Arabidopsis thaliana: one gene and its partner. The protein of the gene in region 1 interacts with the protein of each later gene in a pairwise test. Each region holds a gene or a part of one and is shown in the gene's direction. Other genes may lie near its edges.

Evidence for each region. The genes of interacting proteins can lie anywhere in the genome.
Region 2: the proteins of NAC028 (region 1) and AT3G19184 interact in a two-hybrid assay, tested with the Arabidopsis thaliana proteins (one large-scale study listed by BioGRID).

Annotation. Positions count from the first base shown.
Region 1 is NC_003070.9:24,519,062-24,526,958, reverse strand, and holds NAC028 (NAC domain containing protein 28), read left to right. Parts: upstream 1-2,698; 5' UTR 2,699-2,850; coding exon 2,851-3,007; intron 3,008-3,918; coding exon 3,919-4,196; intron 4,197-4,273; coding exon 4,274-4,606; intron 4,607-4,716; coding exon 4,717-5,088; intron 5,089-5,186; coding exon 5,187-5,277; intron 5,278-5,361; coding exon 5,362-6,026; 3' UTR 6,027-6,291; downstream 6,292-7,897. Other genes in the region: AT1G65920 (Regulator of chromosome condensation (RCC1) family with FYVE zinc finger domain-containing protein), read left to right, coding at 1-839, 925-1,071, 1,154-1,515, 1,605-1,692.
Region 2 is NC_003074.8:6,634,684-6,640,586, forward strand, and holds AT3G19184 (AP2/B3-like transcriptional factor family protein), read left to right. Parts: upstream 1-2,683; 5' UTR 2,684-2,871; coding exon 2,872-3,018; intron 3,019-3,097; coding exon 3,098-3,187; intron 3,188-3,390; coding exon 3,391-3,425; intron 3,426-3,523; coding exon 3,524-3,686; intron 3,687-3,777; coding exon 3,778-3,984; intron 3,985-4,069; coding exon 4,070-4,282; 3' UTR 4,283-4,341; downstream 4,342-5,903. Other genes in the region: PARC6 (plastid division protein), read left to right, coding at 1-30, 133-228, 373-489, 898-963, 1,049-1,801, 1,909-2,099, 2,186-2,270; ATG2 (autophagy 2), read left to right, coding at 5,196-5,402.

The DNA of each region.
Region 1 (7,897 bases):
CAGGAACGGTTTATACAATGGGAAGCTCGATCCACGGACAGTTAGGATGTCCGCGGGCAAAGGATAAGTCGGTAAATGTTGTTTTAGGCAATCTAACACGACAATTTGTCAAGGATATTGCTTCAGGTTCACATCATGTAGCTGTTCTAACTTCATTTGGAAATGTTTATACTTGGGGAAAAGGCATGAATGGACAACTTGGTTTAGGTGACGTTAGAGATAGAAACTCTCCTGTTCTTGTTGAGCCTTTAGGTGATAGGTTGGTAGAAAGTATAGCTTGCGGGTTGAATTTGACGGCTGCGATCTGTTTACACAAAGAGATCTCTTTGAATGATCAAACCGCTTGTAGTTCTTGCAAATCAGCTTTTGGATTCACAAGGAGAAAGCATAACTGTTACAACTGTGGTCTATTGTTTTGCAATGCATGTAGTAGCAAGAAAGCGGTAAATGCTTCGTTAGCACCGAATAAAAGCAAGCTTTCTCGGGTTTGCGATTCTTGCTTTGATCATCTATGGAGTATAACAGAGTTTTCAAGAAATGTTAAGATGGATAATCACACTCCGAGGATGCAGATGGTTACACGAAGAGTATCTGAGGATTTGACAGAAAAACAATCAGAGAATGAGATGCAGAATCTTCCACAAGCTAATCGATCTTCGGATGGACAGCCTCGATGGGGACAAGTCTCTGGTCCTTCTCTGTTTCGTTTCGATAAGATTTCGACAAGTTCTTCTTTGAATCTTTCAGTCTCAGCAAGGCGAACATCTTCAACGAAGATTTCAACCTCGTCTGAGTCGAATAAGATCTTAACCGAAGAAATCGAAAGGCTAAAAGCCGTGGTAATTAAACTACTTCTTTTTGTTTTCTTACCTGTAACAATAGTAACACATTAGACACTAAAGATACATTTTTATGAACATGTAGATAAAAAATCTCCAGAGGCAGTGTGAACTTGGCAATGAGAAGATGGAAGAATGTCAACAAGAGCTCGACAAGACATGGGAAGTTGCTAAAGAAGAAGCAGAGAAATCGAAAGCTGCTAAAGAGATAATAAAAGCCTTGGCATCGAAGGTAAAAGATACATAGTTTTTTTTAATCTTTCTGTTTTTGGTTTGTTATGTGACCGACATTTTCACGGTATCTTTGCTTGCAGCTCCAAGCGAATAAAGAGAAACCGAGTAATCCTCTGAAGACCGGCATTGCATGCAATCCTTCTCAAGTCTCACCAATCTTTGATGACTCAATGTCCATTCCATACCTCACACCAATCACCACAGCTCGTTCACAACACGAAACCAAACAACATGTAGAGAAATGTGTCACGAAATCCTCGAACCGTGACAGCAACATTAAGCTATTAGTAGATGCATCGCCAGCCATCACAAGAACAGGGTATCTCCAAAACGAAACACAAGACTCGTCAGCAGAACAAGTTGAGCAATACGAGCCCGGTGTATATATAACTTTCACGGCCTTGCCTTGCGGTCAGAAGACGCTTAAACGCGTACGGTTTAGGTAAAAAAATGTTAATGTGCTTTTAAGTGTTTATATAGTTTGAAGTACGCTTAAGTATTTATATGATTGGTTTCTAACTTTGGTTGCAGTCGGAAGAGGTTTTCAGAGAAGGAAGCACAAAGATGGTGGGAAGAGAAGCAGGTTTTGGTCTATAACAAGTATGATGCTGAAATATGAAACTAACTTTTGAGTTTACTTCTTCGAATGTATTTTAATTCATTTTGATGTTTGTTAGTGAATATATGTAATGCAGAAAAATTTCTTTATTTAAGAAAAAATGAAAAAAAAATACTGGGAAAAAAATTCCAATATATGATTAATAAAAATATTTTAATGATCATCTAGGAAATATATATGCGAGTTAAGAAAAATGTTTGTGATTTTGAGCAATGAAGAAGACTTGCATAGTATGTAAATGTAAGTAGAAATATATCTAACATGCTATCTTCAAAATGCGATTGGTTCAATATTACCATTGAGGCATTGACCACGAGATAGAAAATAAAATGATGTATATCAAATATAAAACTTTCATTCTATATTATAGAAAACGTAATAATTGACTATGAAATGTGGCTTAAAATGTGTGAAAACAGTGAGAAAGCATCTCAAAAATTAACAACGTAAAAAATAGTTTACTTATTATGTTTTCTTAAAACCTTACATTAAGTTCTAGTTGTTGAAAATTCCTTATAAATATGTCAAATATGTCACGTCCTTACGTTGGTCGATGCCAAAAAATATGACGAGCAAAAGTTATTAACTAGTATAGGTTTATACATATATATCCGTTTTTACAAGCAAAAATAGTTATCAAATTGTCTTTAATTGGTTACTTTTAATATTTTCACTAGGAGCAAAACTGATAAATGAAATTGACAAATATCTAGTCTATATGCATAAACACGTTACGCATGGATGAACAAAAATAAACATGTTTAGATGAATTATAATGAACGTGAGTTTTCCAACATTGAACATGATACCGAAAAAGCTTATTAAGAACGTTACTGAGAATCAAATTTACACGGAAATATATAAACACATTAAAGTAAAAAGAAAAGTTAAAGTGGAAAATATGTTGTGGGGTTTGCAATTGGCAACCGACCCTAAATGCTTTTTCCAGCTTCTTTTACATAATTTTAATCTCTTTTTGTCTTTCTTACAATTTCATCACTGATCGATCGAATTCAAACCCTTATGTTACGCTTCTTTCTTATATAACTGTCTCTTCATATTCTCACTCCTTCTCCTCCCTCTTCTCCTTTTTCTCTCTTAAGTTCTATAAATGTTCATATTTGTTTCTAGCTAAGAAGTTTGTATAAGGCAGTGGACATGGCTCCTGTTTCAATGCCTCCAGGTTTCCGGTTTCATCCAACAGACGAAGAGCTTGTCATATACTACCTCAAGCGAAAGATTAATGGTCGGACTATTGAGTTAGAGATAATACCCGAGATTGATCTTTACAAATGCGAACCTTGGGATTTACCTGGTATATTTCTCTCTTTGCTTCTTTTTTTTCTTTTTCATAAGATGCAAATCTATCATTTTTTTTGGTCATCCGCAAGTATTTACCATGGACGAAGGTATAAATTTATGATTCTGCATCGTTAGTACATCAACATGTTGTGTCTCATGTTAAAGAAATTTTAAATGAGACCATACCATAGCAACCGAAGGAGAAGACTCTATCTGGTTCTTTTCTAATATGTCATAATCATTTGATTGATATGCTTAGTGTAAGATCATTTTTTTTTGGAATTTAGTAAGAATAACGAAAAATAGATTCATTTTTCTGAAAACTACATAATGTGAAACTAATGTTTGAAAGGGTAACCCTTGAGAGAAGAGACACTTGACGTCCTTTCTTTTTCGAAGATAGATGTTCTTTCCCTCTTTTTCCTTAACATAATATAATTCCCATTTTATTTTCACATTTTTACGTACCAAGTTATGTATCTCTAGTCACGCATCGAACTTGGAATCGAACGTGAATGCTTTATCAACTAAATAATCTTTAATAATTATGATCCCAACTTTATGTTAGAATAAAATTTAAATGGACCCACCCTTATCTTTAGTCTTTAAAAGGATTGTAATAAAACCGAGAGATGCGGTGGTGACTAGTGTGAGACAAATTCGGAAGACCGAGTCAAAAAAGGTAAGAAGATTGAAAAAAAAAGATAATAAGTAACTCACAATAATTTCACATGTGCTTTAGGGTTTTGGAAGCTTCTCATTCACCTTCAACTTTTTGTTTTAAATATAAAACAATCTAATGTTCTCTTTATTTGTCTTTTCTTTTTTAATCTTTTGGATTCTCATGACATGTTATGGAATCTTTAAGTAGTGTGTACAAATTAAGATTGGATATAATTTATCTTAATTGTATGATCCTTGCAGGGAAGTCCTTGCTGCCAAGTAAAGACCTAGAATGGTTCTTTTTCAGTCCTCGAGACCGGAAATATCCAAACGGATCAAGAACAAACCGGGCGACCAAAGCAGGTTACTGGAAAGCCACCGGGAAAGATCGTAAAGTGACTTCACATTCACGGATGGTTGGAACAAAGAAAACATTAGTTTATTACCGAGGAAGAGCGCCTCATGGCTCTCGTACCGATTGGGTCATGCACGAGTACCGTCTTGAAGAACAAGAATGTGACTCTAAATCCGGTATACAGGTAAGCTAACTTTTAAAAAGGTTATCAAAAGATTAAGATTCTTAACTTGAATATAAACCAATGTATAAACATTTCAGGATGCCTATGCACTTTGTCGAGTATTTAAGAAGAGTGCTTTAGCCAACAAAATTGAAGAACAACACCATGGTACGAAGAAGAACAAAGGAACGACTAATAGTGAACAATCTACTTCTAGTACTTGTTTGTATTCTGATGGAATGTATGAAAACCTCGAAAACTCGGGGTATCCAGTCTCACCTGAGACAGGAGGCTTAACTCAACTCGGTAATAATTCGTCGTCGGATATGGAAACGATAGAGAATAAATGGAGTCAGTTTATGTCGCATGACACGTCCTTCAACTTCCCACCTCAGTCTCAATATGGAACAATCTCATATCCTCCCTCGAAGGTAAAATTTAAACTATATATCTCAAAGAAATACAAAATTAAAATTGGTGAATATGTAACCTTTTGTTTTCAAACTAATCTCTTATCCATTGAATTCTCCTCATATAATAGGTTGATATAGCGTTAGAGTGTGCAAGACTACAAAATCGTATGTTGCCACCAGTACCACCACTTTACGTAGAAGGTCTCACACACAATGAATATTTTGGAAACAATGTAGCTAACGATACAGATGAAATGTTGAGCAAGATTATAGCATTGGCTCAAGCCTCACATGAGCCACGAAACAGTCTAGACTCATGGGACGGTGGTTCTGCTTCCGGGAACTTCCATGGAGACTTTAACTATTCCGGAGAAAAAGTCTCATGCCTAGAGGCGAACGTGGAGGCTGTAGATATGCAAGAACACCATGTGAATTTTAAGGAAGAAAGACTTGTTGAAAACTTGAGATGGGTAGGAGTATCAAGCAAGGAACTTGAAAAGGTAGTGATATTTTACAATGTTAAGTGCAAAATATTTTATGTGTTAATATATATGTTATCAAATATAAGTATATGTTTGATTTATTCTACAAATTTCAGAGCTTCGTTGAAGAACACTCAACGGTAATTCCTATAGAAGATATTTGGAGATATCATAATGATAATCAAGAACAAGAACATCATGATCAAGGTAGCTTTCACTTCGCGATTTCTACATTTGGTTGTCTTTCTTGACATCTCTGGATTTGATTTTTTTGTTTTGTTGTTGTTGAAGATGGTATGGACGTTAACAACAACAATGGAGATGTGGATGATGCTTTCACACTCGAGTTTTCGGAAAACGAACATAACGAGAATCTTTTGGACAAGAACGATCATGAGACAACGAGTTCCTCATGTTTTGAGGTGGTAAAAAAAGTTGAGGTTAGCCATGGATTGTTTGTCACAACTCGTCAGGTAACCAACACATTCTTCCAACAGATAGTACCATCGCAAACCGTTATAGTTTATATAAATCCGACGGATGGCAATGAGTGTTGTCATAGTATGACATCAAAAGAGGAGGTTCATGTCCGTAAAAAGATAAATCCGCGAATCAACGGAGTAAGCTCAACAGTTCTTGGACAATGGAGAAAATTCGCGCATGTTATTGGCTTCATTCCTATGCTTCTATTGATGCGTTGTGTTCATCGAGGTAACTCTAACAAAAACAGAGGCAGTGAAGGTTACTCGAGGCAGCCTACGAGAGGAGATTGTAACAATCGGGGAACAATACTCATGATGGAAAATGCTGTCGTGAGAAGAAAAATTTGGAAGAAGAAGAAAGAGAAAAATATGGTTGACGAACAAGGTTTTCGGTTTCAAGATAGTTTCGTATTGAAGAAGTTGGGGCTTTCTCTTGCTATCATCTTAGCTGTTTCTACCATAAGTCTTATTTGAATACTGAGGTTCAATATATCATATATGGCTTTTCACTTTTCTATTGTACTCCCATTTGCCTAGGTCGTATTTACTCTCATTTGCTTTTTCCATTTCTCTAAAGTCGTCTAAACAAAACTAGATTTGGTTATTTTCTGTTTATGTATTAAGTGATATGATCTCTCCGCGGGTTGAACGATCAGTCTTCTGTCTGGTTTTTATTATTATTATTATGTTTGCATGCACGTAAGACGGTAAGAGCAGATTATACGAACATTAACAATTTAGCCATCTTGTATTTCAGTATTTTAGTCACTATAGATATGTGAGTAAGTTTATAGTCATTTTCATAATAACTTGTTTATTATAACGATTGCTGTTCCATGTTTTGCAATGTATAGATCATCAAAAATTACTATCGAGCTATTTTGTTCTTGAATCTTGACAGATAATATTTAAGAATAACCTATACGGTTCAAACTGTCGGTTTCAATATTAAAACAAATGTGAATGGAAGATAGAGAGAGGAAAAAAACCTCTCTTACAAAAGAATCTAGGTGCGTCAGAGAAGCTCGCCAATCTCATGGAGCCAAGATTTGCTTTCCTGGCTCTTAATAGTTTGTATGGATCGGCGATTGAAACTTCATTATTCTCTCCCAAACAAAACATAGAATAAACGAATGTGTCTAACGCTGAGTGAAGAGGACTAGACGGACTTGCCCCGTCATAATATGCATATTACGATACGTTGCAACATTAACAATGTCGTGAGTATGCATATCTCATAACATACCAAATATCGATACGTTTCAACATTGAATTTTTAATATCTTAGTCATTAGCAATTAATAATTAAATCTTCTTTTATATGAACAAATTTATGATTTACAAAAAAAATAGATGTTATGTTTCCATGGATCATGTTTTCAAGCTTGACCGAAAACAAGCTGCTAAAAAGTGTCATAAAAGTTTGGTACTAGTACAACTAGGATTTTGTAACTCTAGCACAAGAACCAGTTCAAAAGATGATTATGCATACTGGATTTTTATAGATATTGTTGATTCTTGCATGGCAATCAAAGAGTTTGGCAGCTAGGTATACCTTTAGGGGTGATGTCGACACCTCTCATCTAGCCTTACTTGCTGAAGTATAACTACAATTGAATCTCACTCCCCCTACCAGAAACTGTTTCCTTCCTCATCTTCATTAGGATCAGATCGGATCACAACAACAAACTTCGTCGAACTCAACCACGATGGACAGTGGTGGCTGAGGTTCGTTGCCTGTTTTAGGGTTGAAGATTGAGATGCGTTAAGTGACTTGTGAGACTTTAAGTAACACACAACGACATAATTTAGGGTACTTGGGCCTTAATGGGCTGGATTGGAGTGTTACAATATACAAAGTTCATCGGAAGTTTAGGTTTATTTTAAAAGATGTTCAATGTGGATCCTAATTTCATGCGTTTTAAAATACTTTAAACATAAATCCCAACCAAAAACAAAAAACTCCCAATATCCTTTGAAATTTACAAAGTTCTTTGAAAGTTTAGGTTATTTAAAACATTGTTCCGTTGAAATATGGATCCATTAATTTTCATGCGTCTTGGTAAGATGTATCATATTATGGATATGGCTTTGAGCCTTTGACTTTATTCCTACTTTAAAGTTACAACTTAAATCCCATTTAACCAAAAAAAAAGAAAACAAGAACTCCCATATCCTTTGAAATTCAAGAAAAATTAATGATACAGTTGGTATATATCATTAACAATAATTACAACACCCTAAAATGATTATAATTTGCGTTATCTTTTACGATCTCAAATCTTGGAGTCGAGATTGTGGTAATGGGGATTGGGATGCACGTGGTGATACGTAATGGGTGTAGA
Region 2 (5,903 bases), on another chromosome or scaffold:
GTTGGATTTTCAGGCAAGCAAAATGAAACGGTATATCTCGTTTTCTTTCCTTTTGTTAAATTTAGACTGATTGGTCCATTTCTTCTCTACTCTATCTGCTTATAAAGCATAACATTCAGTATGCTTGTGTAGATTAATAAAGCAAAAACGATATGCGAATGTCTCATAGCATCAGAAGGTGTTGATCTGAAATTTGAGGAAGCTTTTTGCTCATTTCTTCTAAAACAGGTATTTTTCCTCTTGCTTTCTTTATTCTTTTTCCCTATCAACTATGCTTGTGCATCTTATTTACTTCAAGTTCACTTGCTTCGAAAGATCCTTGCGTTGTTCATTTAGTTAAGTGCTACTGGACCTACATGTTGGATAGCACAGGGTTCCGAGGCAGAGGCCCTGGAAAAACTTAAGCAGCTGGAATCAAATTCAGACTCTGCCGTTCGTAATTCGATCTTGGGGAAAGAGTCGAGAAGTACTTCTGCTACTCCCTCACTGGTAAACCTTATGATTTTTACCAAGAATATGTGTTCATTTGTTGCTACGACTAGAGCGAGGGCTATGCCTGATGTAAATGGCATGATCAACTCTAGTGGAGTATGAATAAGTTTGAGCTATGTTTCAGGCTGTAATTGAAACAATGGAAATAGATACATTTAGTGGATGGTAGTTAAATTCATAGAATATGCTTTAACAGCATTGTGTATGCCTGCCGTTAACATTTTCTTTTTCGATTGGTTGTACATACACATAAATCTTAATATTTGTTTGAGTAAGCCCTTGGGTTCATGCACTAAATTTAATTTGGAAATTTTGCAAGTATGTACATCTCTTCGCTAGCTCTGATTTTTTTTCATAGAAAGATTGATAGCGACCTTCATACATGCTACCTATAAAATTGACCAGGAAGCGTGGCTAATGGAGTCCGTGCTTGCTAACTTTCCAGACACAAGGGGTTGTTCTCCATCTTTGGTAAGAATCAGATCACTACTGGAAGATTCTGTATAGCAGTTCTATTTTTATGCAGAAAGATAATCATATATACAACTTTCTGCAGGCCAATTTTTTCCGGGCTGAAAAGAAATATCCAGAAAACAAGAAAATGGGGTCACCTTCGATCATGAATCATAAGACGAACCAAAGACCACTTTCCACAACACAGTTCGTGAACTCGTCACAACATCTTTATACAGCTGTCGAGCAGTTGACACCAACAGATTTGCAGAGCCCAGTGGTATCAGCCAAGAATAATGATGAAACCAGTGCCAGTATGCCATCTGTTCAACTGAAGAGGAACCTTGGTGTACACAAAAATAAAATATGGGATGAGTGGCTCTCTCAAAGCAGTTTGATCGGAAGGGTATCTGTTGTTGCTTTACTGGGTTGCACCGTGTTCTTCTCTCTGAAGCTATCAGGCATTAGGTCTGGTAGACTACAGAGTATGCCTATATCGGTTTCTGCTAGGCCGCATTCAGAATCAGATTCTTTTCTGTGGAAAACAGAGTCTGGGAATTTCAGAAAAAACCTTGATTCTGTGAATAGAAATGGTATCGTGGGAAACATCAAAGTGCTCATTGACATGTTAAAGATGCATTGTGGCGAACATCCGGATGCCCTGTATCTGAAAAGCTCTGGTCAATCAGCTACATCATTGTCTCATTCTGCGTCAGAACTGCATAAGAGACCAATGGATACAGAAGAAGCGGAAGAGCTTGTGAGACAGTGGGAAAATGTTAAGGCTGAAGCTCTTGGACCAACACATCAAGTTTATAGCCTTTCCGAAGTCCTTGATGAATCCATGCTTGTCCAGGTTACTGTTTCTATACATCTCCTATTATTCCTTTACTTAATTATGTTAGTTTACTACAGTTGAACATCAATGTTTAGGTAGAGTCAATATTTCTTTGTTTAATGCAGTGGCAAACATTGGCACAAACAGCAGAGGCGAAATCCTGTTATTGGAGGTTCGTTCTGCTTCATCTTGAGGTTTTGCAAGCACATATATTCGAAGATGGTATTGCTGGTGAGGCTGCAGAAATCGAAGCTCTTCTGGAGGAAGCAGCAGAATTAGTTGATGAATCTCAGCCCAAAAACGCAAAATATTATAGGTAAAAAAAAACATTTCGCTTTCGGGTTACTTTTGGACTGAGCTGGTATCTTCTTCACTGATGCAGCCTTTGTAAATTTCTTGTAGCACTTACAAGATCCGATATATTCTGAAGAAGCAAGAAGATGGATTGTGGAAATTCTGCCAAAGCGATATTCAAATACAGAAGTGAAAATCCCCCAGAAAAAAAAGCTCATCATCTAACTAAAGGTTGTAGCATCAACAGTAGAACATGGGATCATTTAGCTAACGGTTGTTCTTGTTTACCTAACGGTGTAGGAAAGTCTCAGGTTTGTTTCTTTATTCCTTAGTAACCCACAGGATTTGTCTTTGTAGATTCTTTTGATTTCAATGTGTTTATGGATAAACAAACTTCTTGAGTATTTTTTTTATTATTATTGTAAAGCGTTACTGATCAAATCAAATGTTTTCTTAAAATAGTTAAAAATATTAAGGGATCTCAAAATAATTGTTAATTATGGAGGGAAAAAAAAGAAACGTCTTTTAAGAAGCCCATACCTGCTTCACGTATCACGATGGAGGCTTACTCAGACCTTCCACTGTTGAGAATTTGAAATTTCAATTTGTTTGATTAGACACAATGATTAAGATTTTTATTACATAAAAAGAAAAAAAAAATTGGAGAAGTATAAACACATACATAGCGGTGAAAGAAGAAACCCAACGGTCACTCAAAAGCGCATTGAAGAGTCAAGCAAGACTTGGATCTGTCTCTTTCGTTTCTCTATCTCTGTTTCGGATTCCTAAGAGAAATGGTGGAATCGGAGCTAAGCTATGAACAGATTCGTTTGAATAGGGTGGAAGAGAACAAGAAGAGAATGGGGGAGCTTAATCTCAACAAGCTTGCTCAATCTCTTCGTGTCTCTTCTTCTTCTTCTTCTTCTTCCAAGCCCTCACCAGTAACGTTTCCTTTCTCTTCTCTTCTCATTTCTTCTTTTCTTTTTCTGAAATTAACCAATTTTTTTTATGGAAATGTAGGCAAAGCCAAGAACGATGCGTATTCCAGTGGATTTCTCGGAGGTCAGGAGATCAAGCCGTGCCAAAGGTCCACCTCCAAGTTATAAAGAGGTCTTTTACTACCATTTATCTTTACTTGAGTTTCCTTAAGGATTTCTTAAGGATTTTGTATGAGATATGAAATTTGTGGGTTTGATCTTTTTGTGCAATTTTTCTTAGTTATAATTTGCGTGAGTTGTTTCTCTTTTTTTTGAATAAAAACGTGAGTTGTTTCTCATTACTCATTATCAGAGTTATCTGATCCTTACTCGCAGTTTGGGCTAGAACCACTGGAGAGGAGGCCAAGAAGGTTGACCAATCCACACTCTCTATGAATACATTACTTCTCTTACACTATTTGATGTTTGTTTTCACTTTTCAGTATAAGTTATGTGTTTTGCTTTGCAGGAGCTCTCGAAGAAGAGATTTGCTGAATCGGGTATATGCTTCGGACGACGCAAGAATGTACGCATTCGACAGGGCAGAGAAGCTCCAGTCAAGCTTAGATTCAGAATATGCAAGCTTTACCAAACCAATGCTCCAATCACACGTGACCGGAGGATTTTGGTTGGTAAGTGAACAACTTGAACATTCAAAGATGTCTGAAACTCAGCCATAGTAGTATGTAAAAGTCCACTGATGTCATATGTTTTCGTAACCAGGGTTTGCCGCTTCCTTTTTGCAAGGCACATATGCCAAAACGTGATGTAATAATGACTTTGGTTGACGAAGAAGAGGAGGAATCTCAGGCGAAATACCTTGCTCAGAAGAACGGTCTTAGTGGAGGCTGGCGAGGTTTCGCCATTGATCACCAGTTAGTCGATGGAGATGCTGTAGTGTTTCACCTTATCGCTCGAACAACGTTCAAGGTAAAGGAGTTTTACTTAGAGATCTTGAAATACACCCTGGTAGAGAGACTTTGGCATTGATGTTGAAACATATTGCTTGTTCCAGGTGTATATCATTAGGGTAAATGATGATGCAAACAATGATTCAGATGGGAATGAGGTAAATGATGATGATTCAGATGGGAATGAAGAAGATCGAGATAATGATAATGAATCAAACGAGAAACAGAAGGAAACTGTTTCAGAAGGTAGACAGTTGAGAAGCAGTGGTAAGAGGAAAAGACGAGGTAATAATGTTTCAAATCTATTTACCTCTTGACTCTTGTAATAATATCTGTTCGATAAGATAAAACTAAATTTGTTGATTGATGTGTGCAGGAAGAAAGTAGAGTTTGAAGGTTTAAATGGGACTTCTAGTTCTATGGAAGGAGTGGGAAGATGAACTAAAACTTAACATAACAGCTTTTTGCGAGTTTTTTGGCTGAACAGTGAAGTTGTGCAATGAGGGGATTGTTTTTGTGTCTTGTTATGGAGACAAACATGGAACGTTACGGCTAAATATTTTGATTTTGGTAACTACGATTATTTCATGATATTTTATGATTTGGATAAGGGAAAGAGAAACAAACTTTAAGAAAAAGGTTGAAAGAGAAGTCCCACCAAACCAAAAAATAAATCGTAATCACACAAAAACCAAAAAACTTTATAACCGAACTAAACCAAACTAAACCAGATAACTAAATGGCCACCTACAGATTTGTGTAGTGGAATTTAAGCCATTAAAAATAAACAGTTTTAAAATTATGTTGATAAACCCTGGCTTGATATAATAAGATAAGGGATTGAAGACATAATTCGTTGAGAATTGACGCATTTACCCCTTAATTTATGATGTGATCAACTAACTAATTAGAGCCCAATTAGGATTGAGAACCGGTTTTTGAGTAACCGGTACAATAATAGATCCGGTTAAGGAAGAAAGAATAGAAAGAGACGGCACTTATTCCTCCACACGGTAAAGCAAAAGCCCGTAGGACGAAGACGACGACGACGAAAGTCTACTCAACTTTTTTGCTTCCTTCTGATTCTCTCTCTCTCCGCAATCCAATCACGAGAAACCTTCACGTCACCATCCCTTAGAAAAACCCTAAAATCTCATCAAATCCCAAAATCAGGGTCTTCGACTAGAGATTCTCTAATCCCGCAGGGGAAGGGAACAACAAACAAACAAGATGGTGTTTCCGTGGAACATTGCTAAATCAGCGGAGGAAGCTTTTTCTAGATGGGCGGTGAAGAGGGTTGTCAAATTCCTGTTGAAGAAGAAATTGGGTAAACTCATACTTGGTGATATCGACCTTGATCAGCTCGATATTCAGCTTCGTGATGGCACTATTCAGCTCTCCGATCTTGCTATCAACGTTGACTATTTGAATGACAAGGTTCTTCCTTCCCTTCCTGATTCTTCTTCTTCTTCTTCTTTTTATTTCAAATGATGCTATGGAATCCTGGAATTTTGGGCAAGTATGTTAGTGTTTGGCTCTGGACTAGAAGTTTAGGCATGTTGAGGTTTTATGTTAGGGATGGTGAAACTGTGTTTAAAATTCTCTATCAGCTTTATCCACGGAGCTCTAGTTCATTGGTAGTGGTCTAGCTCTAGTTCATCCAAGAGTACTATTATGAGCAGTTTTGAACGAATATATAGAGTTGAAATCTGTATAGGTTTGTGATTGATGATTTTTGAATTCTCGCCAAGGTCGTTGAATTTAGAGGTTCATCTATGAAGTGAAAGCTTTGAAATTATGGTTTCAAAATCAAGTTTTTCATAGTTCATAGTTTGCTAAATGCTTTGGTTTCGATGTTTTTAATGTGCCCAGTTTGATTTTCTTATCAATTTGTTAAGAAGAAGTAGAATAAGCGAATTCTGACAGTCCCATCTCCTA